Alligator mississippiensis: one gene and its partners. Each later gene encodes a partner of the first gene's protein in a complex. Links are inferred from orthologs where the notes say so. Each region holds a gene or a part of one and is shown in the gene's direction. Other genes may lie near its edges. The genes, in order: TOPBP1, BRIP1 and PHF8.

Region 1 (10,730 bases):
TCACCCCAAGTTGCTGGAGAAGTACCTTCAGTGCTGCCTACAGAAGATCCTTCAAATCCAGTGGGAAGAGAGATGCATCAACATTAGTGTCCTCTCACAAGGAAACACCACAAGTATCAAGGCAATGATCATCTGACATCAGCTTTACTGCATGGGCCAAGCCATCTAGATGTCTGTGGCAAAGTGGGACTCCCCGCCTAGCCTCAGTGCTAGGTTCTCCACTTGCCTTTGGGCACACCACCCACCTGACTCGCCTGCCATGCCTTGTTCTTAATTAATTAAGATGTTAATTAAGGTGGGAGGCTGCCCATTCTTGCCCTGATGCCAGGGGGCGCTATCTGCGGCTCCGTACCTCCCTACACCACAGCCCATGCCTTGTAGATGGCATCCAGATGACACAGTGCTCCCGGCCTACAGCCGGACCAAGCTTAGGCCTTGTCATCAGGCCTCAGTCACACACACATTCATACTGCCCTCCTCTCACTAGGGCCTCACACACACTACAACCTTTCTCACAGAGTCTCTTTCATGCGTTGACAACTTATTCTGCCTTGCTCCCTCTTAGAGTGGGCCCCTTAGGCCATAGGCTTAGCTAGTCCATTCCTTGGGTGGCAGTAATACCGTGTTTTGGGCCTCTCTCGCAACCCTCACCGGGGTAGCGGCCAGCCAATTACTTGACCAAGTCTAAGCTTGCTCTAGCCCCTTCCAGGGCAACCCTATATATCGACATGTACTGGGCCCTCAGCCCTCTGGTTCTTCTCCCCCCCCCCCAACTGTGGTACCTCATCTCTGCCTCCTTTCTGGTGCTACCCCTCAACATGGCGTTTTTATCCAACACCACAACTGGTGCTCCAGGGTCTCACGGGGACCCTCACTCCCCCCCTGGAGCAGCAGGTCATTGGGCTCACTATAGGTCTTGCTTTTGACCAACACTCAGCCTCCCAGTGGTGGAGGACTTACCGGGGTCAGGTCTCGCCCCTCTCTCTCAGGCTGAGCCCCCCTTTACTCAGCCTCCGGCCCAAACTACAGCCTCAGACATCTAGAGACATACCTTGGCCTATTCCCCCTTCACTCAGGGCTCCACACCACCCCCTTCACTCAGGGCCAAGGAGCTTCCCTGCCCGGTGGGCTCAGGTGGCCACAGCCATACCTGGCCCCAACTGCCTCTGGTGTTACACAAACCCACCTGAAGGTGAGGACTAGGGTTAAGGCGCCCCTACCCGCCTTTCACCAGGGTGGTAATGGGCCTGGCATTTCCTGGAGGCTCCCACACCACCAGGCCACCCACTCCTGGCAGGTCATGCCCAGGACCAGGAGTCTCCAAACCATCCCCTACAGCTCCTCCCTTACCTCCAGAATGATACATGAAGCCTTGCAGCCAGATGATATTGCTGCCAGCAGGGAGCTGATCTATTTATATAGGCAGCCAGGGATCTAAAATGGCTGCCACAGTCAAGCACCTGCTGGCAGCTTGGCTCAGGTCTTAAAGTGACAGGCACCACCAATGCCCTGCCACACACCTCTCCCCTTAAAATGCTACCTGGGGGAGGTTTCCCCTGCTGCTCCTCCAAAGCAGGCTCCCCTCAGAGCCTGTGAGAACCCTAATGTGGTGAGCACCCCAAAGGTGCTCTGCCACAATGTCCAAGTCCAGATCCCTGAAGCAAGTTTTATTCTCCCAGCTCAGTCAAGATGTACATTCAAGAGAATGGAAGAGAAAGCATTTCAAGGATGTCTTCAAGGCCACTTTAAAAAAAAATGTAACATCAACATCAACTTGTGGGAGACTATCATCCAGGACTGCCCCAAATGGAGGAAGAGTCTGTTGCAAGAATCTTAGTACTTTGAAACCTTACAAGAACAACAGGAGATGGAAAAGCAGGACTGGCAGAAACAGCGTATTGTGGATCAAATCAGGAATCCAGAGCCACCCACTCCATACGGAAATATGTTCCCAAGTTGCAACAGAGTCTGTCTATCCCAGATCAGTCTCATTAGCCATCTGCAAACCCACAGATAAAGCAATCATGGAAGACAATCATCCTCAACTGCAAGGGTTTGCCAGTGATGAAGACTAGAACCGGAACACCCAGGTCAGGATGTGAAACTATCCAATGGTACAGGGCGTTTTGAGACATTTAAGATACAGATGGAATGCAGTATGTAATCTGTTTTGATCATTGTATGAAAGGTAGCAGTGTGCGAAGCGGGCCGTATTCGATTCAGATTTGGCCTGATTCAGGGGACAGTGATTTGATTAGTTGATTTGGATCACTGTCCCAATTCAATTTGGCCAAATCCAAATCTGAAGATTTGATGCTGATTCAGAGAATCAGCGTTTTGGCCATAGACACAGCTTTAAATGTTTTTTCTACATACCTCGAGGTACCAGGCACGGCTCATGAACGCTGAGATGGTGGGGTGGATGAAGTGTACTTCCGGCTCACTTCTGGGTCCTTCGCTGAGTGCATGGGAGACCCCCCTCTGCACTCCCTGGCTCGGTAATCGGCTGCGGGGGGACCCAAGTGCCCCCCCTAGACCCAGGAGGCACCAGTTGCCGAGCTGGGGGGTGGAGGGAGGGTCCCCTGCATGCTCTACAGTAGACCCGGAAGTGGACTGGAAGTGCTTCTGGTCCACTTCAGGGTCTACCACTGAGTGTGCTGGGGACCCCCCACGCTCCTGTGGGATGCGTCATCCACACTAGCATCTCAGCATTCACGAGCTGCTTGGTACCTTGAGGTATATAGAAAAATATTTAAAGCTGCGTCTATGTCCAAATCATCAAATCTCTCTGAATCAATTCGGAGAGATTAAAGGGTCTCCTGATTTGATTCAGATTCAGGCAACGAATCAGGCTGAATCGAATCAGTGACGGAAGCTTCGCAGAGCCCTAATAAAAGGAGGGTTGGAAAGTATGGGAACTTCATAGAGGCCTAGGGGAGCCTGCATGGTATCATGCCAACTACCCTGTAACAGGTACAAATGCTTTAACTCCTGGTCCGATGTATTTGTTAGGTCAAAATGTCTTAGGGCCATGCCTGTAGATAATAAACCTGGCCAAATCTTTGTCATTGAATGGCACCTGTGGTCCTTTAAGGCACGATGGTGTTGGGATCTCCAGGCTGTGACTTTGCTAACACTGCAGTTCCTGAGGCTTCAACACTGACAACACACCAATAACACCTCACAAGGTCAACAGTGATGACAATTGGTAACACTTTATCTGATGCAGTCCCTTTCAGGGGGGAGGGGTAGGACATAATTTATCATGGCATCATCCTGTCATGATGCAAACCCATACCTTGATGGCTTGTGTTCCTTTGTGTAGTATTTTTAGCTGGTATCCTTAGCTATAGCTTCCATTTCACCAGGAGCAGACAGAAAGTGATTAAAAAAAAAAAAAAAAAAAAAAGACATTGCAGACCACATGTGAGCTGCAAATGCTGGAGTACAAGACTCACGGCATCTCTAGCTCTGCGTTTCATGTACAGGTAAGTGTTGGGAACATTATTCTAAATGTTCATGACAGTTTGTAGGGTCCCAAATGATCCTTGGGAAATTCCAGTAGCTGAAAAGAAACATTTTGACTGATTTGTGTAACCCGGGTGGTACTCCAAGAGGTACCCCCTCTCCAATTGAAGGGATCAAAGCAGGTGCACAAGCACTGTGGGAGGTGTAGGGACTCTCCTCCCCCTATAGAGCAGAGCCAGACCACCAATGGGGACTTAACCATATACCTTTTAATGAGGGAACAATACTGGGAACATAACAGGCATAAATCAGGGGGTGTAGTGGGGCCCCCTGGGGGGTAGGATTCAACAAAGGTTAGACACTTACAATCGTTGACAAAAGACAGTGTTAACAAAACATAAAACACAAACAGCAGAGCAAACTATACTGGTTGGTGAAATATAAAAGAGGCACAAAATGTCAAATGACAAGGAAATACAGGGCCTAGGTACCTGGAAGTAGAGAAAGGGGGAAAGCACAATGGTCTCTTTCAACTGCAGGATTTGCTTCTTGTTAGCTCGCTTACCCCAGTTGGGACTTGAATTCAGAGCTCCCATGTGGTAGGCAGAAATGCTGCCACACAGCCACTACTGATAGCACTACTTTAAGCTGCTAGGGGTCTTGACCTTCCCAGAGCCCAGGCCTCATGTCAAGCTGCCTGGCCTCCACTTGGAGGAGCCAGAAGCAGAGCTGGGAACCTCTCAGGTTGCTGCTCAGATCCTTGCTGAAGTGGGGGAGCCCCTCCTGCTGGCCACAGCCTCTCATAGGGGATCCTGGAGCCCAGTAGGAAGCCTCTCCTGCCAGCTGCACACCATGCTGCTGAGGGTCCAAATGCTGCCTGCAGGTCCCATTCCTTCAGGTGCTTCTGGGGCAACTGCTCCCACCCCACTGGCCCAACTCTTGCCAGCTCTTTGAAGCACCTTCCTCATGGTCCCTCACTGGTCTCTTCCCAGAGTCAGCTGTGCTGCCCCTTTTATCCCCCTCCAAGTGACCCAAGGGGTCAATCAGGGGACAGGGAGGGTGAGTCTCTGGGGCTTGATTGGTGAGGAAATCCCAAGTCCTCCAATCATCTTTTTTCCTTTCAAAACCCCTGGGCTAAGTCACTACCAGCCAGCCCATCGCACTTGATTTGTCAAACCTGTTTTAACCCCGAGCACTGGTGTTTCAGGACACTGAATCAGTGCTGTGAGTAGAACTGAAACTTGCTAGAATTCACTTGCCAGGTGGCTCTTCCTTTGTATGACAAAAAAAGTGACCACGTTTATCTTTGTGCGCTTTGTTTCTGTCAATCCGGGAGCTCTTGGCCATCAGAGACAGTACCAGGGATCACTATGTGGAAGTGGCTCGCCCCCATCTCCTGCCAGGTGGTGATAAGGAATGAGACTGTTTCTCTGCTCTCCTGGAGTTTTCAGCCTTACCGAGCAAATGCTTTTGTGTTTTGCCGCTGGGGTTCCCATGTTAGCTTGGGCAGGTTAGGATGCTGTCAGGAATCACTGCAGACTTAGGTAGGGTTTAGATGAGTGGTTCTCAACCTTTTTTTGTACCGGGACCCATTTGTAAGCATCAATAGCCAGTCCCAACCCCACACTCCTGCCCCGCTGCCCCCCACCCCTAGTGGGGCAGGAGGTGGGTGTGTGGGGCATGGGGGGCAGCCCGCAAGGGAAAACCCACTGTTTTCCACATTTTTCTCCTTTGAAGGAGAATTCATTATTGGCCACAACCCTTCCATAGCTTCTTGCAACCCACTTCTGGGTCACCCCCCAGAGATTGAGAAAGGCTGGTTTAGACTATGATTACAGTATTGCCAACTCCCATAATTTTTGGTGTTCTAAAAGTTTACACTTCATTGTAAACCACCTGGGATGGTTTGGACAAGGCTGACTCTAGCTCAGGCAGGTGATCAGACTAGATGACCTCTGCAGGTCCTTTCCAGCCAGATCCCCACAGGGCTGAGACGCAGACAGGACCGTGAGAGGGCAGCGAGAGACCTTGCTCTGGTACCAGGGACAGGGAGGGCAGATCTAGGGAGGCTTCCCCCGCAGCTCGCCCGCCGCAGCGACCGGGGCTCCAGGGTCCCCGAGCTGCCCATAGACTACCGCCCCCCTCCCGGGCGCTGATTGAACACAGCTCCTCTACAGCCCCCCCCCCGCACAGAACAAGGGAGCACACTAAGGCCCCACCCCCTCCCCGGGAACGTCACGAGACGCCCCTGCGCACGCGCACTCCAAGCCGGCAGACGTTTGAAAGCAAATCCGGAACCGGGGGGGAGGGGTCACGTGACAAGGGAAAGCGCCCAATCGCGTGTACGAGCGTCTGGGGGGTGCGCGTGCGCCGTGCGACGCTGCTAGGTTTTCCCGCCAGCCGGGGAGGGACGCGGCGGAGCGCGGGGAGCTGCTAGCACCAGCACCAGCCCGGTCTGGTCCGGTGGGTGAGGGGGGGCCGCCGCACCCGTTTGTCCTCCCCCGCCCCGAGGTCGGAACGGGGGCAGAGGCCGCGCCGCGCTCCGGGACCCTACTGGCCTGGCGCGCGGGGGGCGGGGCTTGCGCCACGCCGCCCCAGGGGTTGAGACCGGCAGCGCCGAGCACCTGCGAGTGTGATGGAGATGAGCAACCAACTGGGGGTGCTGAGCCCTCTCCTCTGCTGCCTCCTGCCCCGCCACGGCCTGCTCTTAGCAGGGCGGGCTGTATTTGTTGCTTGGTGGGCCATGCCCCCTCAGAAAGAGCACCCCAGGTTGTTGCCTCCAAAAATTCTTGCCTCCCTGGACCACTTCATGTCTAAAGAAGTGGTCCTGAACTGAGGTGGACTTATGGTGGACCCTCAGGGTAGGCACAATGTGGCCCCTGCCCCGGATAGGCTTTTGGCTCCCCCCCAGCTCACAGCTGCCCCCAGCAAATGCCAGCTCTTCATTCTCACCCCTTTCTTTCCTGCAGAGTAATACCAGCAAGGCTTATCTGTTGCAAAGAACCCAGGAAGAGCACGCCTGCCTCTGGGCTCCTATTGGAAATCTTTGGGTTTATCTCATGAGTTGCACTTACAACCCTCGCAGTGTTGATGTTGTGTCTACCCCCCTCCTCTTCCCTGATGGCACCCTTGAAAGGACCTCAGGACACCTCCTGGTGTCAAGTGCCACCCTGCCCCCACTTCTGCCCTTTAAGGGAGTGGTTTTTCAGCCTCAGGTGGGGCAAGGAATGCGGTGCATAGGTTCTTGCTTGGGAACTGTGGGCTTCTCTGGTGAAGTACTAAATACAATGTTATTTTTTCTTGCTTAGAGTGAAGTGCTCTGGGGAGAAAGAAGGAGTGAACACCAGGATTGGGGGCTTAGTCGCACACTTCGGGAAAGCGCAGTTGAGTAAATTACTGCATCTAAGAGAGCCCTGTTAAAGGAGTAGAGGTGTGCACCTAAAAAAAGAGGTCCATGGAAAGGTAAACTAGCCTGGGATTGTATTATCCTTCCATCATTAGCTCTTCATGATTGTTGCAGAGGACAATGGGCAGCCACCAGCAAGAAGCTTGGCCACCCATAGGTGGGAGAAGGATCTGGCCAGCCTGCAGCTGTACACAGCTGACACATCTCTGGGCAGGTGCTGCTGAAGGGCTCCCTTTGATGGAGACCGAGGGTCTTTTTCCTTCTTTTGTTCCAGTTCTTGGGAATCTGTGTTGTGTGTGTTTGGGGGAAGGGGAGAACAGCTTGCTGCCTGTCTCGGCAGGGATGTTGGGGCAAGGTGGGGTGAATCTCCTTTGCGGGTGATGTGGGTCTGTAGTGGGGAAGGGTAGGTAGGAAGTGGGTTGCATTGGAAAGAGATTTTTGTATCTTGATGTGAAAAGTGCTTGCCATACAGAAGCACTCACTACATGGCCCTGTCAGATTCCAGCAAATCTGCAAATTCTGTTAAATGTCTTGTCACAAGGATGCAATAAAGGAAAGGAGTGGTGGGTGGAGAGTGTGATTGGGATTGGCAGGAGGGTTTGTTCGTGTAGGGATTTGGGCAGGAAGGTGGTGGTTTCAGGGAGTGGGGTCGGAATTCTTGGGTTTTAGCAAATCCTGTCTGTGGGTTGTCTGTTTATTGCCAGCTGCTCTTAGCTTTTCGGATAGGGTGGGATACAGCTTTTCCTTGCTTTTAGGGTTCTGTATGTGCGAATTCTCTCTTATGTGATGTCCCTTTTTATACCAAAAATCTGTTATACACGAGGTAAATTCACTCGTAGGTGATCGCTGTGGTGGAAGCCCACAGTCAGCTGCTTTGTGTGGTGCATTGTGGGAGTGACACGCACCAAAATATAGTCTCCTGTGTAGATATGAGCTTCTCGCTTGTTGTCTGCAATATGTTTCTGTAGTTGCCATCACTATTATGGTAATTTTCACCACCACCCTGTGCTTGTGTGTAATGTTGGTGAGTACCAAAATTGTCTTGTAAAAGTTGTAGAAAGAGGTCTGGGGGTCAGTACAGTTGAGTTCTTGGAACGTATCCCTATTTGTTACATTGTAAAGTGGGTTCCGTTTATGGGAATTCAAGTTTTCCAGGAACACATGTACAGCATGAAGCAAGAGAAACCTGTATAAATCTTATAAACTAACAAACCACCCTTTCCTTAGTGCTAGTTTTAGTACCCACAGAGAGTTTTACCAGTGGATAGGAAACAAATGATTATTCCAAGGTGTGTATAAGTTCTCTTTCACTCATTTTGCATTAGAGTGGAAGATGAATTGAAGAGATGAAGTTCTATAGTTACTGGTATAATGTGGGAGCTAATTAGAAACATGCTACATGGGAATAACTTGCTCTTATGGGGTAAATAATTAAAAAATGTCAGAAAAAGACCTTTGTTTCTATGGAAAGGTAAATTCTGTCAGTTGCATCTCATGATTTGCCTTGAAAGTGTAATATAGTTTTTTTGAAACATGGAATATAACACTGAAAAATCTTTTGTTTTCTCCATCAGTTAAAGGATGAAAAGTGACAAGGAGCCTTTTTTTGTGAAATTTATAAAGTCTTCTGGAAATTCTGAATATTTTTTTAAAGCTCTTGAGGTAAGCACGTTAGCTAGTTTTACTAGCTATAATCCTGACTTCAGTTTTCTGTCTCACACTTTCATGCTTATTTGTAAATTCTAAACATCAATAAAAGAGATTGTCTTTATATGAGGAAGGCAGTTAGCATTAGGTAGAACTACAGTTGTGTAATTTTTTTCCTGTTAAAAGGAGTAGTGTTTTGTCGGTTTCATACTTCACCTAATTGTAGTGGGTGAATTCAACTTTGATATGGTAGAAAGATCTTTATAGTGAAATCATAGGTTTTTCACAAAATAGTTTTCAAGGTGAGACTGGTTCAGTGAGCTATGCTTTACCTCCTGAAAGGAAATGAAACACTCAAAACTTTGGGTCTAATTTTGTAAATGATTGCTGCCAAGTATGATGCATAGTACTGTGGCATTTCTTTTTGACTGAATAAGCTTAAGTCCCCAAAGAATAAAGCATTACACAAGATTTGAATGAACCTTTGAATAAGTGCTGTGCTTTGGTGGCCAGCATTTGACAGATTGGGCCCATTGACTGTCTGGGGAGAATACTCTTTAATTCACACTGCAGAGTGAATTGCAGCCTTGAGGGTTTTGGAGTAGGGATGGCCAACCCATGGCATGTGTGCCGTAAGTAGCATGGTCAGCCTGTGTGTGTGGCATGCAGCCAATCAGCAAGGAACACAGCAGTAGATTGGGCAGGGAGGAGGAGAGTAACAGATTAGGTGGAGAGCACAGGGCAGGGAGCAGAAGGCAGAGCAAAAGATCAGGCAAGGGAAAGGGATCAGCGTGTCACTTGGAGGGTTTGGATGTTACTTTATGGCATTCCTGCCAAAATGTTTGGCGCTCAGTAGGGTTTGGAGGGTCTTTCAGGATAGTCCTGTACCCATTGTACGATAGATACAGCAAGGAGAGTGTCAATTCCTTTTCCCTTGGATAGTCAGTGGGAGGTGAAGATGCTCAGTACCTTGTAGGATCGGGACCTATCTGTTCAAGTTTGTGTACTGTCCATTTCAACTTATACAGTATGCTGGTTATTGATGAATATACAATGGGACTTTTGTATGGTAATTTTACTAGAAGCCGTTTCAGCTGCATATGGTCTGTAGTTCCCATGGAATTCACTTTAAAGAATTATTCATCAGTGAAAGAGGAACTTGAAAGCTAAGGAAATTTAAGTGTATTCTTATTGTTTCATGTTTTCTTGCAGTCCATAAAAGAATTTCAGTCAGAAGAATATCTCCAGATTCTTGAAGAAGCAGCTGCACTTGATATAAAAGAGAATGACCAGTCCCTTTATATCTGTGACCCATTTAGTGGCATTGTTTTTAATCATCTCAAAAAGGTTTGCACCCCACCTTTCTACTCACAAGTATCCTGTTCCTTGGGACACTCATAATCCTGCCATGTGTCTCTTTTCTGCATTCTGTGGGCTACATAGCGAATATTTTTAAATGCTGGATATTCCCAATTAGAATTTCAGAGAGATATAGCAAAGGGTAGCAATACATGAGGGGAAAAACAAAGGAATCAGTACTCTGGCCAAGCTGGCATTTTTTTTCTCCGGGTTCTGTGGGAGTCTGCAGCAATGACTTGAAGCCACTTTTATGTTTCAGCCAAAGAGAGCTGGTCTAACTGAGCCATAACTTTTCAGTAGTCAAAAATAGGCTAGCTAGAGCTCAGTGGCTGTTCAGGCATAGCTCCTGTTTTCTAGGCTGGAGCTCTGTGCTACCTGGAGGGATTTCCTTCTGTTTGGAGAATCCCTGACCTGTTGGTTGGACAACTTTTCCATCTGTTCTTTATAGCTTGAACAGGCATCATATGTTTTAGGGGGAAAATGTTATCTCTTTTTCTTAATTGTATTTGGTTCTCTTATCTTTGTTGCAGCTTGGCTGTAGAATCGTTGGACCACAGGTAGTCATATTTTGCATGCAGCACCAGCGGTGTGTCCCTAGAGCTGAATATCCTGTTTATAATATGGCTATGGCTGATATAACAATATCCTGTACCAGCCTTGAAAAAGAAATTAGGGTAATGTATTTATATAATGGAAACAACTGTTGATCCAAAGTTTTTTTTCATATTTTATTCCAGATGTAGCATTAATAGGATTTATTGGTTAAGTGATGTACTTGTTGAAAACTGAGTCTAAAATGTAACTTGGATATAGAAATGACAACTTGGCATTTTAATTAATAATTAAAGAA
Region 2 (10,581 bases), on another chromosome or scaffold:
AGAAAGGTCACAGCAGTAACTCTCACAGCCTGCTAAAGAATATTCAAAGTGCTGCTGGCCCTGGACCCCAGATTCAGGAACTAGAAGAAGAAGAAGACAGTCTGCTGTGTAATCTTCGAGAGGTCCAGTGCCTCATCTGCTGCCTTTTGCACCAAATGTACATTGCGGATCCCAACATAGTTAAACTAGTTCACTTCCAGGTCAGCTTTTCCTTGGCTACCACATTTTTATTTTCTATTCTTGTCCTGAAGGTGATGGCTGGTTAGGGAGCTTGGTGAACTTGAAGGCATGCGAAGCATCACCATAGAGAATTTGGCAAAGCTTATTTAGAGTGGTAATTATCTTACACCCAGCTTTTGGTACCAGTCCAGCTATTTTGGTGCACACTTAGAGCAGTGGCCAAGGGGGGAGCAGGTTGAGGCTCCTTTTGCTCATCACTTAGAACATGCTTGTATGTAGCCAGGTGGAACTGGCATGATAGACAAAGAGATCAATGTGCAGCAAACGGAAGAGAGAGAGAGAGGACAAAAGGTCTGTGGGCCCTTGCAGCCTGCTTTGGTAGATAAGTGGTATTTAACTAATGCACTAAGCCTTGAGGAAAAAAGGCCTGTTCTAGGGTCTGGGTGTGGCATCAGTCCTTCCTGAGCTGGGATCAGACTAGCAACCTACGGTGCTGAATAAAACAGAACTATGAGTAAACCTGTTTAAACCTGTGTGAATGCAGAGCTTCCTTGAAACCAGTGTAATCGCAGTTAAGCTTCTAGTGTGACTTTCTCTGAACATAAGCTTTGTTTTCCTCAAACAGGGTTATCCATGTGAACTTCTAGCACTGACTGTGGCTGGGATTCCATCCATGCACATCTGTCTAGATTTCATACCGGAGCTCATTGCCCAACCTGAACTTGAAAAACAGGTACTCTATGGCTATGTTGTTTGAGATGAACTGCAGCTGTTTAATCCTGGGCTGCAAAACACTGCAGCAGTAGGATGCTGTGGAGACTCCGTTTCCAGTGACATTAAATCCACTGAAGTGTGTTTTATATGTTTATTTGGCAACCGTTTCTAGAAACATTTCAGTGTCGTGTCAGAGCCTTGGTTTGCTTGTCTGTGAAAAGGGAACAACTTACCTGCCAGGTGTTGTGTCCAGATCAATTTTGGATGGAAAAGACAAAGCAGTGATAAGAATGGAATTGTTCACTACCTCTTCCCTTTTGCTCCTTGCAGATCTTTGCCATCCAGCTGCTTTCATATTTATGTATCCAGTACGCGCTACCTAAATCTCTCAGTGTGGCTCGCTTAGCTATCAATGTCATGGGAACGCTGCTGACAGGTAAACATCCAGGCAACGCATTTATGTAAATGTGGTTTAACTTCATACGAATCTAAATGTTCTTAGAACCTCTGTAACTATATTGAGCTCTTTGACTGAAAACACATTAAAGAGTAGATATTCATATTCATACTTGTTTTTCATCTCTGTTAAGCTCGCATCCTAACCCATGAAAGTTTTAAATGGATGTGGTAAGCAGAGGGAAGAAATTTGCCAAACAGGAGCAAAATTGCTTTTATCTCTTCTGAGTTGTTGGTGACTGACATAAATGAAGTAACAATTCAGACTAGCGTCCAGGGAATTGATTTAATAGCAATTAGAAAACAGGAAAGAAACTGACTCTTTATTTTGCTGATTTCAGAGAGGATTCTGGTATATCTTTTAAACGCATCAGGCAGTTGCTTTGAGTAATGTCTGCTACAGTTTTTTTGCCTCGATGATGAAAAATCAAATAAATAAAACCTGAAATGGCTTCTTACGGCCGTTCATGATCACAAATGTAATGACAGCTCTTGATGCTTGGTTTTAATAGTCAGCTCTTTTAAACATTTCCCTTTTTCCATTGCCAGTTTTAACCCAGTCAAAGCGCTTTGCCTTTTTCATGCCGACCCTGCCTTGTTTGGTCTCATTCTGCCAAGCCTTTCCTCCACTGTATGAGGATATTATGTCTCTGCTGATACAAATAGGACAAGTTTGTGCCTCTGACGTTGCCACACAAACAAGAGACTTTGATCCAATTATTACACGTAAGTAATGATATGATCCAAGGCAATGATTTACATCTGTAATGTATTGAAAGTTGAGAGACCAGTTCGAATACACTGTGAAAGTCACCCTCACACATTTGTAAATGGAAAAGTCCTAGGGGTGTGATATATGAAATTTGCCATCATAAGTTTGGCATGAGCAGATTTTTTGGCTTCTAATATAATTTATAGTCCGCATAGGACTTTAAATACCTTCTGTAGGGATAGATTAATTGGGTGTTCTAGTTCTTGGACACAATTGAGCTATAACAGGCTATGTTACATCACTATGTAACACTGCTAGGAATTAAAGCCTGGGAAGTGAAACTTCAGATTTGTATGAGGCTTCAGTTGTGTAACCCCCATTTACTTTCATAAGAAAGGTGCAGTTAAATTCCCACACGGCCATTTGAAAGCATGCCCCATAATGTTTGAGTCTTACTCGGTTCCCCTGTAGCTTATTAAGAAATAGGCAGGCAAGAGTTAGTTCTTAGTAAAATGGACCTTTTGGCTAAAGTGTATTGTCCCACCCATAATCATTCAGTGTCTTAATACGCCACTGAAGATAGCTCGAGTCACCTGGACGGTCAGTTGCCTTGTTTTACTTTGTTTTTTTTTTACTAAGGTATATGTGTAGTTGGTGAGAGACCCCCTCTCTGCCTGCATTTTGTTGTATTATACAAGTTCATCAGGCTTAAAATAAGTATCTCCATTTTCCTCCTTGGAACCTATCCTCCTTGCTGCTTGATGCTCATTTTGACAAAATCCAGATTTATTATTGAAATTGTCCTGAATTCATGAGTGCGTAAAGTCCTGGCTTCATATTTTTTTTCCATCTTCAATCTTTATGCCCCTAGCAGTAGCAGTGGTTTGCTTCCTGCATTTTTGTTAAACAGTGAAGCTTTACAAAATCTCGGGACACTTCAGCTGCCTGAGGTTGTTTTGGGCTTTATGTATAGTGTTGCGTGATTTCAATTCTAGCTGTTTTGGGTACAATGGACTGAAATCAGGCTCACCCTGACGGGGTATGAGCACGTAGCACTTTCACTGGATTTCTAGCAAATATGAAGAAATCTTTCAGAAATTAAAGCAGATTGCTAAATTGCAGGAGGTGAGATGCCTGTACTTCATGTTCCAAAACAATAAAATGCACACGGGCCTTAGTTTATATAGAGGCAGTCTGTATACCGAGGGTTCTGTGTATAGGATCTACTTGTTGGAGTTGGAGAGCCAGATTCTTCTTTTTTCAGCTGCTAATTCATTTGGTCTTGGACAAGTCACTTTCTTTTCTACAGCAAATGTAAGACCCTTTTCAGAGGGGAGCTGTGCATCTTAATCTTTTCCCCTTAAGGCAGTATTAAACCACTGTCCTTTTGACAGGAAAAACAAAACAGTGGAAAATAAATCAAAAGTTAGACGTGTCATATGACATGAGCATGTCTCCAGAAATGCTGCTGGGATTAAATTAGCACATGCCTGGGCTTTAGTCTACTGCATCCCTATCAAAATAGTGATTTTTCATACTTGTGATTTGAAGTCCTGTTCACTCTACACACGTAGTACACAAGTGTTCTCCTCAACAGTGTCATTTTTGTCTAATTCTCCCTAGGTCTCCAGCAACTAAAGGAGAAGCCAAATGAAGTATCAAGACTTGGTAAAGATCCCTCTTACAAAAGTGGTGCAAAGGACATAACAAGCCTGGACCCTGATGTTCAGTTATGCCAGTGCGTGGAAAATACCATAATTGAAATAATTAACATGAGTGTTAGTGGAGTTTAGGGGAGGCAGAAATGCAACAAGCACCATGATGTACAGTATCTAATTGTGGTAACAGCTGCCAAAGTGGAATAGGAATTGGACTGGAACAAGTCATCTCTTGTATTTGTTGGAGTCTGTGTAGATGGTGAGCTGACCCAGTCCAAACAGAAGATTTCTTAGGGAGACCAACATTGCTTTCAGTGAAAGCTCCTGACTATTGAAGTTGCCAAATGACAACTCTTCCAGTGGAGACAGGGTCTGAATTCCAGATGCTTGAATTCTGCAGTGAGGCAGTAATGCACCTACAAGGTCTTCACATGCACTCTTTGCAAAGCAGTTTGCTGAATGAGCCTGATAATGTCTTACCTTGTTGAACCTCCCCACCTTACGCTAAAATGTAAGGTAAGGGAGAGAGCTGCTAGAAAAAGTGAAGCATGTTCATTCAAAGATCCGATTGCAGCGGAGATCTCCAAAGCAAGATGGAATAAACACCCTAAAGAACAGCATGGAGAAGACTGGCATAATTACTGTAAATAGCATGTGTAAATTCACTGTGTGCTAGACAAAGACTGTAAAACTTTTTATGCCTTTTTCAAACTACAGCTGTATGGTTAAGTTCTTAAGAGCGGTTACTTAAAAGTGCATCTCTGCAGCTCCATCAGCTGCTTAGCAAAATTGTCAAGTAAGTTTTGAGTAACTTTTTGAAGAAGTCTTGAACTTGGCATAGAAGTTTCTAAATGAGCCAGTACTATAAAACAACAGAGCACATTCTATTTCAAGAATATTTTTTTTATTTTTATAATGCTGCTCCAGTTCTCTTTAATGCAGAGATGAGAGGAACCAGAAGCAGCAAAAAGAAAAGATCTCGATTTGTTATCGGGCCGGGATGCAAAAGAAACTGAAGCTCAGGAGGCTACAGCGAGGAAAGCTGGGATACACTAGGGAGCTGTATATTTTAGTCAGGGCTCCAAGAAGCACTGTATGATGGAGTGGGACAGCTGTTTGGATGAAATGGTTCAGCTTTGTGGTGCTTGGTCTGCCCAGAACTACTGAAAGCAGCAGGTAGTTCTCGCATCTGAGACCAGTGCAGGGTGAGCCCGGAGGGTTCTGCTGTACTGCCCCGTTGAAGGGCACACGAGGTCCAACTGCTGTGCCAGAGACGAGCCCGGCATTTTTAACACGCTTCTGCTATGAAACCAGTCGTGCTAGGAGGATGCGCTGTTTTAAAATAACTGCATTTGGTGTCGTTAAAATAGTGAGGTGAAATATTTGGGGGGGGTTCTGGTTAAGCAAACCGGTTCTTTCTTATTCACATGCAGAAATAGTCTGATTTACTTAAAGACGCGTGGCCTTCAAATCGTCTTGAGCAGTTTGTCTGTCAAAGGTGCCAGACCAGTACTGCAGAGGAGCGTGTTGCAGGACGCGTGTATAACAGGTGCTGTAGTACGAGCGCCGGTGTTATCCCTGAGCTCGTGGATCAAACCCAGCTCTCCCAACAGGCATGAACACCACGTGCCCCAAACGTGTGCTGTTTGATCATCCTGATGTAAAGCATGTAAATAACCGCCACTGATTCCTCTCTCCCTCTCCCCCTCCTCAGTCGCTTCCCACCGGAGCAAGATTTTACTCGACTTAAAAGCTGAATGGGTTTATAAATGTTGTAATGCAGAACTGGAGAGCTCTTAGTTCAGAGATGATCCCTTTTATTCAGTGCAAAACTCGAGGACTCTTAGTTCAAAAATGATCTCTTTTCTTCAATGCAAAACTCGAACTCTTAGTTCAGAGCTGATCCCTTTTATTCAATGCAGAACTTGAGAACTCTTAATTCAGCCATGATCCCTTTGATTAGACCAATTAAATCCCAAAATTTTGCGATTTTGTAGTTAAGAGAATGATGCCTTGTATTAGATCAACTGAGAAACACACCCCCACCAAAAAATGCTCTTTTTTTTGCAAGCTTTCAGCAGGCTGGGGACTGTCCGTGGTCCTGCTCCTCCTTTCCAAGGCGGGTGTCACGGTCCCTCTCCACCTACCTCCGTCCGGAGGGGCTTGTCGCCACGTGGCTCCAGGAGAGGCGCGGACTGGCGAGGCCGGCAGGCGAGCACTGCCATGAGCCGCCCGGCCTGGGGGAGGCGCTGTGGGCTCGGGGTGGGGGGAAGTGACATCACAATGCGTGTGGGCCCGTCTCACTACCTTACTGACCACAGAGAACGGGGGAATGGGCTAAAGTCCAAAACAGGCCTCGTTGCCGCGGCAACCGGAGGGGCTCCAGCCACGCAGCACGGCCCTCAGCGATTGGCCCAGGCGGGCGCGGCTGCGGTTTGGCTGCGCGGGGCTCCTTCCTGTCAGCTGTGATTGGCCGGCGCGGCGGGAAGGCTCCGAGCGCGGGGGGGGGGGGTCGCTCCTGAGGTAACTGACGCGCCGGCGGCGGGGGGGGGGACAAAATGGCGGCGGGTCTTCACCCCACCTGGGGCTCGCTGTGGGGGGCCTGCGCAACCTCCACCGGTCACCAGAAGCCGTTGGTGGGGGTGAAGCCCCCAGGGCCGGCCCGAAGCCCGCGTGCCAGGACAGCCACCCCTGCTCCGAAATACAGCAGCGCTGGGAAGACCAGGAGGGATGTTTCTCCGCATTATTATTATTATTATTACCTTTAACGCTCCGTCGTTGCCGCGCAGCAGAGATGCGGGGCGGCAAATTTCCCCAAACGGAAAGTTTCCCGTCGCTTTTATTCGTGTTTCCCATGGGAAATTTCCGAAACGTCCCCGCTTTTTAAAAAAAAAAAAAATGTGGGGAACGTCCCGCTTCTAAAAATTCAGCGTTTCATCAAAGGCAATCGGGCCTCGTCGTAGAGACGGCGTCTTGTATGACACCAACCGGGGTTTTTTTTACAAATGAATAAATAATTTAATTGGGAGAAATGGGCACAAACGCCCTCCGCGAGGCATTGCAGAAAAGACTGTAACCCTTGTCCTGGGTGGGAACGAAAGTCCCCGTTTCGTAGGATTTCACAGAGGAGTCGAGAGGTGGAAACTCGTCCGGGCGTAGCTTGTTTCGTACAATTAATTAGCAACAACGAACGGATGCCCGTGCGATACGAGGCAAGCTTGGCAGTTTCAAAGTTGTAACTTACAACATTTAAGCCACCTTCAGTGTGCTGTATTTAATCTGTTTCCCCCTAATCGGATATTTCAAATACTTGTGGCTATCGGGACATATAAAAGTAACATGGGGGGTACTTTTCTTTAGTTTTTAGTTTACTAAACAGAAGTCCAATAAACGTGCTAAATCACATCGTGCTGTAATGCCAGAAAATTGTCCGATTCACCGTTTTCCAGAAAACCCACGTCTCTGCTGTGAAGACGGAAAGCTGGTCTAGAAGGTGTTCTCACGGCCGGGCTCGTGGCAGGGTTGATGTCGTAGGACTCGAGCCATAGACCTCAGGGCTCGGGGGTACAAAAGGTCCCAGCGTCCTTTTTGCAATCGTTAGGATGCTCATACTGGCCCAAGTCCGTTCTGTGCAACTATTCCCCAATTTCTGCGTACAGCGCTGTAATAATATTTGCTTAATTTGCTGAAAAGTCATCCACAAATTCACAGACGTTTAGGGCTGGAAGAGGGACCTGGTGAAATTATTGACTTTAGGCAGGAAAAGCTGCTGTTACTGTTACTACTATCCAATAGTAATAACGCGGGACACATTTGAAATGGTCACCATATATCTCATCGTGGTCCTTACCCTGAACCACGTCTTTCCGACGTCACCTCAGCAGTTTGTATTCGGTTTTGCTTGGTGCCTTATGTTGCGCTGAGGCCGAACTTGTCAACGTTTGCTTTCATCTTTCTCACAGGTATAAATCTGAGCTAAACAAGTAGGGGGGAAAACCTGACCATGTCTTCTGACATATCAGAATATACCATTGGTGGCATAAAGATCCTCTTTCCTTGCAAAGCTTACCCGTCCCAGCTTGCTATGATGAATGCAGTAAGTAGAGTTACCTTTAAGTTCCTCAATTTAATTGTACCATTGTTTTGAACCTCTGTTACACTAACCTGTTGTATTCCAAGCCTCCAATATTTCATGCATTTTAGTATCGATACAAGCAATTACTTGACACATTTCCCCATGTTTCATTCTGTGTTTGTACCACAGCTAGGACCGTGGTGCCCAGGTCTGTAACTAGGGCTTCCAGTGGCAAATAAATAACAAAGCCCAGCTATATCTTGAAGTAGTAGACTGAATTAATAGACAATATCAGCCTAGTTAGGTTCTGTTTTTTTCAGAGTGGATGCTGTATCTGTTACATAATAATCAATTTTAATAATCAAAATATCAAGGGGAAACATTTGACCTGCCACTGTACTGCACTGTCTTTATTCTGTTCTGTAAAAACTTGGCGTGATCAGGTATTGTTACTAAAAGGTAAGTGGTTAGAAATGCTTTCTGAATCACTATTGAACCCTGTTCCCAAGTATAGTGCTGCTGGCATGGGTGACTGGTGCCTCTTGGCTCTGGGCAGGCACCAGTGGCCAATTGCTGACCGGGGGCAGTGGGGGCGCTGCCCCAGCGGCCGATCACCAACCCCGGAAACACTGGCAGCAAACCAGAAGTGCTGCCAGTGCTTCTCGTGGGGCGGGGGGGCCGGCAGTGGTTGATGCTTCCCAGTTCCTGGCCAGCGAGGGCCAGTTTCAGGGCGGGGGCTTGTGCCCCCCCATGCCCTCCCTACACGTCACCTATGACTGCTGGGGAGGTTTTCACAGATTCACAGAAGTGTAGGTCTGGAAGAGACCTTGTGAGATCATCGGGTCCAGCCCTACCTGCTCTGGGCAGGGAAGACAGCTGGGGTCAAATAACCCCAGCAAGGTGTGTATCCAGACTCCTTTTGAAGATCTCCAGGGTAGGTGCCTGCACCACCCGCATGGGGAGTCTATTCCAGAGTCTGCTCACATGAAGTGTGAAGAAGTTTTTATTTCTATCTAGCCTGAAACATTTTTCTAGGAGTTTATGACCATTGCTCCTGGTTTTCCCCTGGGGCATTTTGGTGAATAGTTGTTCACCTAGCCCCCGATGCTTACCCCTGATTATATATTTTAAGCTGCCACCAAATCCCCCCAAGGTCTTCTCTTTTCTAGGCTGAACAGTCCCATATCTGTCAGCCTTTCCTTGTATGGCTTGCTCTTCAGGCCTCTAATCATAAAAGTGGCTCTTCTCTGGACTCTCTCAAGCTTCTCCACAGTTTATCAGTAGCGAGAGAAAGAGCTAAGGTATGCTGACCACCTGCCGTTACTGAAGATCCATTAGTATTTTTTCCAAGAGGGTAAAGGACTGGGTCAAACTACTTTCAGCCAACCAAAAAAATTCCCTGTGGTTTCAGCTGGATTTTTTTCCGCCTGTTCTCTCTTACTCGCTGTTTAGGTTTACTACACTTCGCTGGTGGGATGTAATAAATATGATATAAGTATCTAGACCCAGAAAGGCAACACACAAACTTGCACGTCAACTTTTTTTTTCTTACAGATTGTAAAGGGGTTAAATTCTAGGCAGCACTGTTTGCTGGAGAGCCCTACAGGAAGTGGTAAAAGTTTAGCCTTGCTTTGTTCTGCATTGTCATGGCAGCAATCTTTATATGGTAAGTTCTTTTATAAAGTCATTCCTCTCAGTGTTTCTTTTTTTGTGTGTCTCGTTTTGTTTTTTGAAACAAGAACTGACTTTGTTAATAAATTTGGTCTTTTGGTAACCTCCAGCATCTGTTTCAGGAATGGACCTGCTTCCTTGCCCTTACTTAAAATCCTTTCTCTCCTGGTTAGGCTGGTGGTTAGTTATAATTCAGACTATCTGTTGACTTGTGGGTTTCATGTCACTGAATGGGTAGAGTTTCTGCAAGTGACTTATCCATTGTGTATCCAGTGACTAAGTTGGAACCAAGACAAAATTTACTGTTAACTGATTCAATCTAGAGTTTTGAGAGAGTCTAATTCTATTTTTGGCATTACCATTTTTTAAGACAAGGTGAATAACCTGCTTTTGGTTCATTTGTAGAGAAGTCATTGGATGAGTCTCCATGTGAAAAGGAGTGCAAAAAGCCAGAGACCCCATTGCCATGTCTCTGCAGATGCCATTCTCAGCCAGGAACAAATGACACCAGTGCGGATGTGAACCAAGGTGCTTCTTGTTCCTTCAATAACTGTAAAACTGCAGGTTCTGTTGGGAGTGAGACGCCATCCAGCAACAAAGGTAACTGTTAAGTAGTCTTCTGTTTTATGGGGCTGGCTATCTTGTATATAGCTATTCAAGTTGTAGGTCCTACAGTTGCATAATACCCAAGCAGCCAGGGCTGTCCCTAGTGAGGAGTGAATCAGGGCAACCGCCTGGGGTCCTGCACTTTGGGGGGCCCCGTGGAGCTGGGCAGAGCGGCTGCGGTGACTGGAGCCAATGAAGTAATCCCAGAACAGGTCTCTGGTATTGCAGTGGTCCAGCTCAACAAAAGGAACTTGAATCACTTTACAGTATTTATTAACCTTTAGATACTGTTTTCTGGTATTTGACATGCAGGGGAAGTAAGTAATTAATAGCTTGCCTTCTGGGAGCATCCTCTAACTGAAGTCTACCTTTATTTGACCCACAAGACAGACAATGCTGGTAACTTGTAGTTCTGTGTTTTATCCATGGTATTTGTAACTGACTGTTAATGTACGAGGGCCATGTGATCCTTGTCAGGTGCTAGGTTTTTTTCCCCTTTGGATCCTGCC
Region 3 (10,159 bases), on another chromosome or scaffold:
GTGCATGTGTATTCTAAATAAATACAAATAATGATAGTAAAGCATAAATAATGCTTCATAAAGAACATAATGTGGTAATAAGCAAATAGCTAAAAATAATAGTGATACATAATACAATTTATTAATGTAAAATAATGTAATGGTAAGTAAATTAAAGATTAGTGATAACGAATAAACAATGAAACTTTATTAGCATAGTGTAACAATACAATACTGATATGTGATAGCAATATATAAATAATGATGTTTTATTAGTGTAATATAATACTAAGTTATAAAAATAAGTGATAGTGATGTATAAAATAAATAAGGCAGCTTTATTAGCATAATGATAATATAATGCTAAGTTAATATAAGAGATACAGTTGGGATACATAAATGACAAAGCTTTATTAACATAATATGGTCATTAATATAATGCTAAGTAAATAAAAAATGACAGTGATAAAGCATAAAATAAATAGTGAAGGTTTATTAGCATTATGCTAAATAATATTATTCTAAATAAAAATAACTGATAGTGGTCGTGTCTACACATGCAATTAATATGAAGCAATAAACCCTGGAGCTTATTGCATAAGAGTTTATTGCTCTTGGGTGTGCCATTTGAACGTGTTCTTGGGACTGCTGCAGGTTGAGCTGGGTTGGCCCAGCACCAGCTGGCAGCGGCCCAGGGGTCAGCTTGCCAGCCTGGGGCTGCTCCCCCCTGGTTCAATGGGCTGCAGAAGAGCTGGCTGGAGTACAAGAGTGCTCCCAGAGCAGGGCTAGCTGGCAGGCAGCCCTCTCATTGAAGCACCCTCATGCCCCAGCCAGCCAGGGCAGCATCTATACATGCACTGCTGCAGAGTAAAAAAAAAAACAAAAAAAATCTGCAGCAGGATAGTACTTATATTTACAAGACTTTCCTGCTGAGGAGTAAATTAATTTACTCCAGCCTAATAGGGGCATACCTGTAGACACGCTATGTTTACTGAGGCAGTAAACATCTTGTGTAGGCATGCCTGGTACAGTAAAAGCTCTCTTATCTGGCATCCTCTGGGCATGGGGGATACCAGATAACAAAATGTGCCTGGCTGCCGCTTCTCCCGCCACATCCCTCCGCCCTGCTGTCCCTCCCGCAGCATTGCCATCTCTCCCACGTGCCCTGTGGGCCCTGTGGGATGAGGAGGCGGGCCCTGCACAGCCCCACACAGCCTGTTATGCCCCCAGGCCATGGGGGCTCAGAGAAACTGGAAGTGCCACAGTGGGCACTTCTGGTTTCACTTTTCCTTACAAGCCAACATGCTGGTTAACAGAGCATGACAGCTTGTAAGGTGCCAGTTACCAGAGAGTTTACTGTAATATGTAAAATAGATAATGAAGGTTTATTAGCGTAGTATGGTAATTAATATAACACTAAGTAAGTTAACATAAAAAGTAAGGCATAGAATACATAATAAAGCTTTAATAAAACATAATATAATAATATATGATATGCCAAGTAAATACATGAAAATAAATAACAGGAATATATACACACACACACAGAGTAAAGAAAAATGCAGCTTTATTAAAATAATCAATGGGCCCTTTCTCGTTATTGGAGAAAAAACATGCTAATTAACCATAATAATCCCTATGGACTATTATACATTTTTAAATGGCTTTTAATTCTTTTGTTAATTCTTCTGGACCTTAAAGAAGAGTTATCCAGAAGGAATCGGATTCATTATGAATTTGGTCTCCTTGCATTTTCTTGTTTGTCACATTTAATATTCATCCCAATTAGAAGCATTGTTGGCCAGTGGTATTCCCCTCTTCCTTACCTCTCTAATTAGAAGAGGCAGGTTCCAAGAGATGACTCTTTGGATTGTTTGAAGCAATTGTTATTAATGACTTGTGCTTCTTATCATTAGAATAATGATTGGGAATCAACCTAATTAATTAACCCTAATATTACAGGTATTAAGGATCCTTGTTTATTATTCAGCATCCCCAGTTGAAAGCCTTTTTGAGTGTGTATCTCATTATGCATATATGCATTAATCCTGGCAGTGACCTTACTGCATTGTTAGTCTCAGTTAATTCATTAGGCATAGTTAGTCTATTTATAATGGCTTATATTTGATTCTTCTTAATGTTAATGATGATTATTTAATTACTTGACTATTGTGAAAAACCTATAGGGGATGGAAAGCTGTCATAATTAGTCATTGCTAATTACCAAGGATCCTGGTTTTCTCTGATTAAGAAATAGCAAATTCTCTGATTAAAAACCCTGGAATCCTCATTCTTCTGTGATTAAAACAAAACATCACTATATATTTAGGTATGTTTTATTGATGCATTGTTTTATTGATACATTTACAATTTTAAAGCAATTTGGAAGCCTACCAGTGCCTCAATCCCTATAGTAAAATAAATTCTAAATACCTATACATTTAGCCCTACCTATGCCATTGTCCCTCACTCCTAAACCACAGCCCCCAACCCTACTTGTGCCCCTCACATCCTATCCACAGCACCCTGCCAGAGGGGGACAGGGAAGGTTTGAAATCCCACCCTTGCTTATAGAGCAAGTACTATATTTATGTGTCTACTACACATCTCTTTCCCTCCCCACTCAGCCAAGAAAATGCCTTGTGGGTAAGACGGACTTTGAATCTGGGTTCCTCATTAAGTTGTAGCTCGCCGACCCCCCCCCCCCCCCCCCCAGTTTCCCATCTTGGGTTTTGGGTAAAGCGGGGAGCATGGTATGCTAAGAAATAACGGTAGGGGCAGGGGTTGGCCATGCAGGAGTGGGAGTTGCCCACGTCAGGCTGGGTGGCTGTGGCCAAAAGAGTTGGCAGCGTGTGTTGTATAATTATTCTTCAGCTGGATCTTCCAAGGGCTTCTTCTGATAGAAGATCCAGCATCAGAAAAACTAACAGTTGATTCTGATGGATCTTCTGATGGTTCCTTTGGATGATTCTGTGGATGGTCCTTGTGATTAGTTCTTCTGATGATGGATCTTTCAGTGGTTCCTTGTGGTGGATCTTCTGATAATGGATATTCCAATGGATCTGATGGTTTCTTCCAACAGTTCCTTCTGATGTTTTTCTGATGATGGATCTTTCTGACAGTTCCAGCTGGCTCCTCCACTGATTCCTCCAATTGTTCTTCTGATGGTTCTTCAGATATTTCTGCTCAGCAGCTGGGTGGATTCTCCATCCCCCGGGTATCCTTTGGCCAAGAGGTGGCTCTTCCCTGCTGCTGCCTTTTGAGTCCATGGCAAAGGAACTGGTGTCTCTGACAAAGTGAATCTAGCTAAACCCTGCCCCCCCCCCCCCTTCCTCTGCTGGCAAGGTGTTCTTTTGACCCCCTTGGCTCGTCTTCTTGGGGGATCATGACCTGGAGCCAATTCCAGCACTCAGCTGCTGGCAATATCCCAGCATTTGCTTCTGGCTGGGACCCAGGCATCCTGTGCTTCCCCACCACACTGGGAAAGAATCCTGCCCATGCAGGGATTCCCTGTCCTGGGGTTTAGGAGGTGGGGGGCGGAAGGGGGTGAATAGTAGCTGGTCAGGGGGATCTCTGCTGTCAGAGGATGGAGATGGGGCTGTCAGCTGGGGTTCAGGAAGCTGGGGCTGTTATTCGTGTCCCAGACTGATCTCACTGGGAGTGAGTTGGTCTGTTTTGGGGGGTTTGATGTTAGAAGTTTAAAACTTGGGGCATGAAATGTGTCCATAGCCTGCCTCAGGTGGTCAATGGATCCATCCATCCTCAGCTGCCCCCTCTGTCTGTCTAGCCTCATGGATGTCCTTTATCCAGCTAGACAGACAGATGTCCCCATGCACCTCATCCATTCATCCAGCTAACTATCCATCCTCACACACACCCTTTGGTCTGTCTAGCTACCCACACTCTAATGTATCTGTCCATCCATTTGTCCACCCATGCTCTTTATCCAGTTGTGTATCTATCCCCAAACCATCTGTCTATCACAACACACCCTTTATCTATTCATCTGCCTAGCTATTCCCAGACCATTCATCCCCATACACCCTGTATCCTACACACCCTCTATATATCCATCTGTCTAGCTATCTCCACACCACCTATCCATCCCCACACCATCTATCCCCACACACTCTTTATCAATCTACCCATTCATCCCCACACACCCTATTGACCACCCCTACACACTCTTTATCCAGCTGCCTTATCTCTACCCATACATATCATCCATCTATCTGTCCTCACACGCTACTTTGTCTGTCTAGCTAGCTGTGTACACATCATCCAGCAGTTCCCACACACTCGCTGTCTATCCATCCCTGCACACCCTTTATCTATCTGCCTAGCTATACCCACACACCTCATCCATCCATGCATTCTACACCCTTTATCTTTCCATCTGTTTTTAGCTATCCCCACACCGTTCATCCACCCACCCGTGCCCAGGCCCATTCTCCCCCCTCCTCTTCCTGGCATCTACCCCTTGCCTGTTGCCCAGACCTCTTCCTTCAGACGCCATTTTTCTGCTACCCAGATACAGCCCCCCCCCTTGACACCCCTATGCTCAGCCCCCTCTCCCCCCAGCATGTCTAGCACTGGCTTTTAGGCTGGGTTTTTGTTTTTTTCCCCCCAAAAGCTCTGTGCACACCAAAGCCTCTCTCTTACTCCCTGGGAAAGTCTGAGCCTAGGCACCACAATCTGCGCTTGAGGCTCGAGGAGAATCCACACTGTGCCCCCAGAAGAGCTGGATGGACCAGTCGGAATAAAAGTTTATTCTTTTAGCTGTCAGCGCCTAGTGGTGTCCCTTCTGCGTGGGGGTGGGGTGGGGGGGTGGATGCCTGGGTTCTTTCCCAGCTGTGGGAGCGGAGGGTGCGGGGGTACCCCGGTCACTTGAGTTCTCCTGGCTGTGGGGGGGCGGGGCGGGACGCTTGAGTTCGCTCCCGGCTATGGGAGGGGGAGTGCGGTGAATAGGAACTGTGACGCCAGGGCTCTTTCCCACCGAGGGGAGGGGAGGGGGTTGGTTCTAGTGGATTAGGATTGCGTTGGTGGTGGGAGCTGGATGCCTGGGTTCTAGCTCCCTCCCCCATTCAGGGAAAGCAGATGGAATCTCCCCCACCCCCAAAATGGCCAGGATGTCACTCTCAACATGGCACCTACAGGCCCCGCCCAGATGGTGCCTTCTCGCTGGTAACGACAGGCAAGCACCAGTCAAGGTAGCCGCCTTGCTCCCCCTTTCCCGCCCTCCCCAAGATGGCGGCGCCGGTGACTTTTCAAGCGGGGCTGCGGCCACTCTCAAGATAGCACCTTCAGCCTGCCCCCCAATCGTTGGCTGTCTTCCATAGCGGAGCACCCGCCGTCTCCCTTGGCTTGTCCACCATCTCAAGATAGCTGCCGCCCGTTGGCTTGCTTCACCTGCCACTCCCAAGATGGCTGCCCCGTCGTTTTCCCTGCCACTCTCAAGATAGCAGTCGCCCTTGGCCTGGCTGAGGTTCCACTCTCAAAATGGCCGGCACTTCTTAGGCCCTACCCTGCCACTCCCAAGGTGGCCGCTCCCACTAAATCCGCCTCCCCCGCCCCTCTCAAGATGCTTCCCAGAACCTCCTCAAGATGGCGGCGTCGCTAATTCCCACCCCCCACCCGCTATTGACCTCCCCAACATGGCGGCGGCTCCTCCTCCCGCTCTCTCTTCCTCCTTCCCCACCTTTTCCGTGCTTTGAATAAACTTTATTGAGCGGCCAGAGCCCGAGCAGCCGCTGGGGCCGAGCAGGGACCGCGCCGGGAACCCCCCACGCGAGGCGGAGGAGGAGAGGCGGCCGCGTGGGGGGTGGGAAGAGGCCATATCTCCCCCAGCTTCCACGCGCGCGGAGAGGGACGAGATCTCCCCCCCCGCCACGCACGCCCTGTGGGGAGGTGGTAACCCCCCTCAGGGGAGACGGGCGAGAACCCTTCCCCCCCTTAAGGAGAGGGAGTGGGAGAGGAGCCGGGGGGGCAGTTGTGGACTTTCTCCCTCTTTCTGAGGGGAGTTGGGGTCGGGTTGAGCCCCTGTGGGGAGGGGGGGAGGGGTTGAAGGGCAGCTGAGGGGGGGCTTTGGGCCCCCAATGTATTTTTTTGGGGGGTGGGGGGCAGTAAGGTGAGGTGAGTGGAGAGACAGGGGTATTGGGGCAGGAGGGTGTCTGTGGGTATCAGGGTATCTGAGGGGGTATCTGTGAGGGGACGGGGTCACTCAAGTGCAGGGGGTGTTGGGGGGTATTTGTGAGGGGAGGGGGCAGGGGGTCACTGGGGGGTTGGGATATCAGGGGCACCCAGGGACAGGGCAGGCCCCCCCCATCCCTGCCCCCTCCCCCACAGTCCCAACTTCAGGGCCGCCATGGCCTCAGTGCCTGTATACTGCCTCTGCCGCCTGCCCTATGATGTGACCCGCTTCATGATTGAGTGTGATGCCTGCCAGGATTGGTTCCATGGCAGGTCTGGACCCGGGGCAGTTATGGGGGTGGGGAAAGAGGTGGGGGCCATTATGGGGGTACGGAGTTGCCCCAGGACTGTTCTCCAGTAAGCTTTATGCTTGGCCATTCCCCCTGCTCCACCCCAGAGCTGGATGCATCATGGTACCATGGAGAACCCAGGCTGGTGGGACAGGAGCAGGGGTTTGGTTGTCTCTTGACACAGGGGTGGTGGGCATTGGGACAGGGTAGAGGACCCCAATTCAGGGGTTCTTGCCTGGGTAAGGTGGGGGCAATGGGGCAGGGAAAGGGGGCTGTGGGGAGACTATAGGGTGGGGCAGAGGGCTATGGTGGTGCTATGGAGGGGGGGAGGGGCTGTGTGGCAGAGAAAGGAGCCAGGAGTATGGGGGGGGGTGCAGAGGAGCTATAGAGGGCCATGGGGCAGGGAAAGGGGGGAGCCTGAGGGGACCCCAAGTTGAGGGTGGGTGGGTGTTGCAGGGGTGGCCCATCTAAGGGTGGGGTCTGATTTGGGACTGGGGCCTGCAGACAATTAACTCTGTGCATCCCACAGCTGTGTGGGGGTGGAGGAGGACATGGCGGCTGAGATTGACCTCTACCATTGTCCCAATTGCCAGGTGCTGCATGGACCCTCTGTCAGTGAGTAGTAACACCCCCCTGCTGCTGGGTGGGGGTGGCAAGGAGGTCTCTGGGGGTGGGAGGGAATCTGTTCTGCTTCCCCCACCAGCCAGCTGCATCTCAGCCTTCCTCATGCAGTGTTATGTTGTGCCATTCCTCGAAGATGCCACACCAGAACTGGCTGCAACTTGTGGCCAGCAAGCATTTCCTGTGCAGCATTATACTCAGCCAGTTTTGGGTTGCTCCATCCCAGGGCTGGCTGCCTTTCAATGCTGTAGAAGCTGTTTTTGTGATGTTATACATTGCTGTTTTCATCTCAAAGCTGGTGGCATTCTTATATCATTCTAATACAGTGCTATATGTAGTCATTCCTTAGCTGTTTCTCCCCCAAGCTAGTTGCATCTTAGTTCCATTTGGCACCTCTGAGGTGGCATTATACTTAGCTGTTCCCCAGCTGCCCCACCCCAGACCTGCTTGCATTTCAGTACTAGCAAGTCCTTTTTATGCAGTGTTATACTCAGCCATTTTTGGGCTGCTCCAGCGTAACACTGGTTGCTTCTCAGTGCTGTAGGAGCTCTTGTGATGTTCATGCGTACATTCCCCAACCCCAGAGCTGGTTGCATTTCACTGCCAGCAAACCCTTTCTGTATAGTGTTGCTCTCAGTACTTGCATCCATTTTAGGCTGCTTCACCCCAGCACTGGCTGCTTTTTTAGTGCTGTAGGAGCTCTTGTGATATTATATGTGGCTGTTTCCACGTCAAAGCTGGTGACATTTTTGTTTTGTCTCTATGTGGGGTTATATATTGTTGTTTCCTAGTTGTTTCTTTATAGAGCTGGCTGCACTTTGGTTCCTTTGGATGCACCTAGCATGGCATTTATACCTAATCATTCCCTGGCTGCTCCACCCTAGAGCTGTCTGCATCTCAGTCCTCCCTGTATGGTGTTATACTCAGCTGTTTCCCACCTGCCCCACCCCAGAGCTGGCTGCATCTAAGTGCCAGGTGATATTTCCCATGGGGAATTAGCCATTCCACAGCCACCCCACTTCAGAGCTGGCTGCATTTCAGCCTTACCCATGACCGTTATGCTCAGCTGTTCCCCAGTTGCCCCATCATAGAGCTGGCTGCATCTTGGTGACAGGTTGATGTGCCCAGGCGGCATTATACTCGTGTGTTCCTCAGCTGCCTCTCCACAGAGCTGGCTGCATACCAGCTCTGACCCTCTTTTGTTGCAGTGAAGCGACGTCGTGGCCCCCAGAGGCAGCCAGATGGGACGCTGGGCAGAGATGCTGGCCGGGCTGTGCGCACAGGCAGCGCGCAGTTCATCAAAGAGCTGCGGAGCCGGACCTTTCCCAGGTGAGGAGTGCAGGGGCAGTGGTGGGGTGACAGGGAGGGCTGAGGGGTGGGATTATACTCAGCTACTCCCAAGCTGCTCTACTCCAGAGCTGGCTGCATTTTGGTGCTCTCTATGTGGCGTTATACTCAGCTGTTTCTCAGCTGTCCTACCCCAGAGCTGGCTGCATTTTAGCATTTCCTTTGAGATATTATATTAAGCTACTTTCCACAAGAGCTGGTTGCATCTTAGTTCTTCTTGCATGGTGTTATACTCAGCTGCTCCCCAGCCACCCCACACCCCACCAGAACCAGCCATATCTCAGACTTCCTCATGTGGTGTTATGCTCAGCCATTTCTTAGCTGCTTCACCCCAGAACTGGCCGCATGTTGGTGCTGTGTGTTCCTTCCCTTGTACTGTTACATGCAGATGTTCCCCAGGCACCCCACCCCAGAGTTGGCTGCTACTTGGTGCCAAGCTAATGCTCTGCAAGCAGTGTTATATGCAGCAGTTTTTCTTTTGTTGCATCACAGAACTGGTTGCATACTGGTGCTAGGCAAGCTCTTCCTATGTGGTGTTATATGAAGTCTTTCCCCAGCCACCCCACCCCAGAGCTGGCTGCATCTCTCCCTCCCCTGTGCAATGCTATACTCAGATGGTCTCCAGCCACCACGCCTCAGAACTGGTTGCATTTCAGTTGTCTTTGTAGGGTTTTATACTTGGCTGTTACACCTCAGAACTTGGTGCATCTTGGCTCTTTTTGTGTGCTGTTATACTCAGCTGTTCCACTCCAGAACTGGCTGTATCTCAGCCTTCCCCATGTACTATTATCCTCAGCCAGCCACCTCCACCCCAGAGCTGGCTGCATCTCAGCCCCTTCCTGTGTGGTGCTATATTCAGATGTTCCTCAGGCACCCTACCCTAGAGCTAGCTGCGGAGTGCTGACGCCTGCCCTTCCTCCCCACACCTCCTCTCCACTCCTTCCTGCAGTGCTGATGAGATCCTGCTGCGGCCGAGTGGGTCACAGCTGACCGTTGAGTACCTGGAGGAGAACAGCTTCAGCGTCCCCATCCTGGTGGCCAAGAAGGATGGGCTGGGCATGACCCTGCCTCCTCCCACCTTCACCGCCCACGACATTGAGCACTATGTGGGTACGGACCTGCGGGGTGGGTGGAAGGGGGTTGGCAATATGGACTGTGGACTGGGAGGGGCTGGCTGTATGGCTTTGGGTGGGGGAAGGGGCTGGGCCCTGGGTCTATGGACTGAGAGAGGGGGTGGGCCTTAGCTGTATGGACACGTGCTCTGGCCATATGGACTAGGGAGGGCTGGGTCCTGCCTGTACAGCCTGGTGGGGGCTGGGCCCTGGTTGTGTGGACCAGGGAGCCCTGGCTTTATGGTATGGGAGGGTTAGGTCCTGGCTGTATGGACCAGGGAGGGTAGAGGGTTGGCTTTATAGACCAGGAGTTGGGAGAGTTATAGCTGTACAGATCATTGGGGGACCCTGGCAGTATGGACCAGGAAGAGCTGACTGTTGATTAATGGGGCTGGGCCCTAGCCATATGGACAGGGAGGGGATTGGGCCCTGGATGCAGTCTGGGAAAGGGCTAAATGGACGGGGTGGGGGTGGTGCTGGGTCCTGGCATCATGGACTAGCATGGGGTTGGATCCTAATTGTATGGACCAGGAGGGGTGGGGCTGGCCCTGGCTATATAGACTGAAGTGGGGCTAAACTGTTTATATGGACCAGTCTGTGACAGGGCCCTGGCCCTCTGGA

What was found.
Region 2: the proteins of TOPBP1 (region 1) and BRIP1 are in contact, whole or in part, in a crystal structure (PDB 3AL3), measured with the Homo sapiens proteins. The link is inferred for Alligator mississippiensis from reciprocal best matches to the Homo sapiens genes TOPBP1 and BRIP1. Residues at the interface, in NP_008958.2 of Homo sapiens: Leu1272, Ser1273, Ser1274, Leu1275, Asn1276, Pro1277, Arg1280, Gln1298, His1311, Leu1313, Arg1314, Asn1315, Glu1316, Lys1317, Leu1319, Gln1366, Arg1407, Gly1410, Phe1411, Leu1414, Thr1466, Glu1467, Ile1469, Ala1470; in NP_114432.2 of Homo sapiens: Ser1129, Tyr1131, Phe1132, Thr1133, Pro1134, Glu1135, Leu1136, Tyr1137, Asp1138.
Region 3: the proteins of TOPBP1 (region 1) and PHF8 are in contact, whole or in part, in a crystal structure (PDB 7CMZ), measured with the Homo sapiens proteins. The link is inferred for Alligator mississippiensis from reciprocal best matches to the Homo sapiens genes TOPBP1 and PHF8. Residues at the interface, in NP_008958.2 of Homo sapiens: Gln1298, Cys1299, Arg1314, Asn1315, Glu1316, Leu1319, Arg1369, Ser1406, Arg1407, Gly1410, Phe1411, Arg1413, Leu1414, Arg1465, Thr1466, Glu1467, Ala1470, Asp1471, Gln1475, Asn1483, Tyr1484; in NP_001171825.1 of Homo sapiens: Gly842, Ala843, Cys844, Phe845, Asp847, Ala848, Tyr850, Ile851, Tyr852, Pro853, Ser854, Leu855, Glu856.

The regions. Positions count from the first base shown.
Region 1 is NC_081828.1:137,605,247-137,615,976, forward strand, and holds the start of TOPBP1 (DNA topoisomerase 2-binding protein 1), read left to right. Parts: upstream 1-5,823; 5' UTR 5,824-5,931; intron 5,932-6,776; 5' UTR 6,777-6,851; exon of another isoform or gene 6,852-6,930; intron 6,931-7,520; exon of another isoform or gene 7,521-7,898; intron 7,899-8,448; 5' UTR 8,449-8,455; coding exon 8,456-8,536; intron 8,537-9,733; coding exon 9,734-9,868; intron 9,869-10,410; coding exon 10,411-10,554; intron 10,555-10,730. UniProt on the Homo sapiens protein: Scaffold protein that acts as a key protein-protein adapter in DNA replication and DNA repair. Composed of multiple BRCT domains, which specifically recognize and bind phosphorylated proteins, bringing proteins together into functional combinations.
Region 2 is NC_081837.1:3,860,719-3,871,299, forward strand, and holds the start of BRIP1 (Fanconi anemia group J protein), read left to right. Parts: upstream 1-6,283; 5' UTR 6,284-6,932; exon of another isoform or gene 6,933-7,682; 5' UTR 7,683-7,723; coding exon 7,724-7,816; intron 7,817-9,349; coding exon 9,350-9,461; intron 9,462-9,871; coding exon 9,872-10,066; intron 10,067-10,581. Other genes in the region: INTS2 (integrator complex subunit 2), read left to right, coding at 1-200, 806-913, 1,225-1,330, 1,900-2,076, 3,686-3,855. UniProt on the Homo sapiens protein: DNA-dependent ATPase and 5'-3' DNA helicase required for the maintenance of chromosomal stability. Acts late in the Fanconi anemia pathway, after FANCD2 ubiquitination.
Region 3 is NC_081831.1:28,025,959-28,036,117, forward strand, and holds the start of PHF8 (histone lysine demethylase PHF8), read left to right. Parts: upstream 1-6,215; 5' UTR 6,216-6,343; coding exon 6,344-6,441; intron 6,442-6,987; coding exon 6,988-7,073; intron 7,074-8,287; coding exon 8,288-8,408; intron 8,409-9,375; coding exon 9,376-9,536; intron 9,537-10,159. UniProt on the Homo sapiens protein: Histone lysine demethylase with selectivity for the di- and monomethyl states that plays a key role cell cycle progression, rDNA transcription and brain development.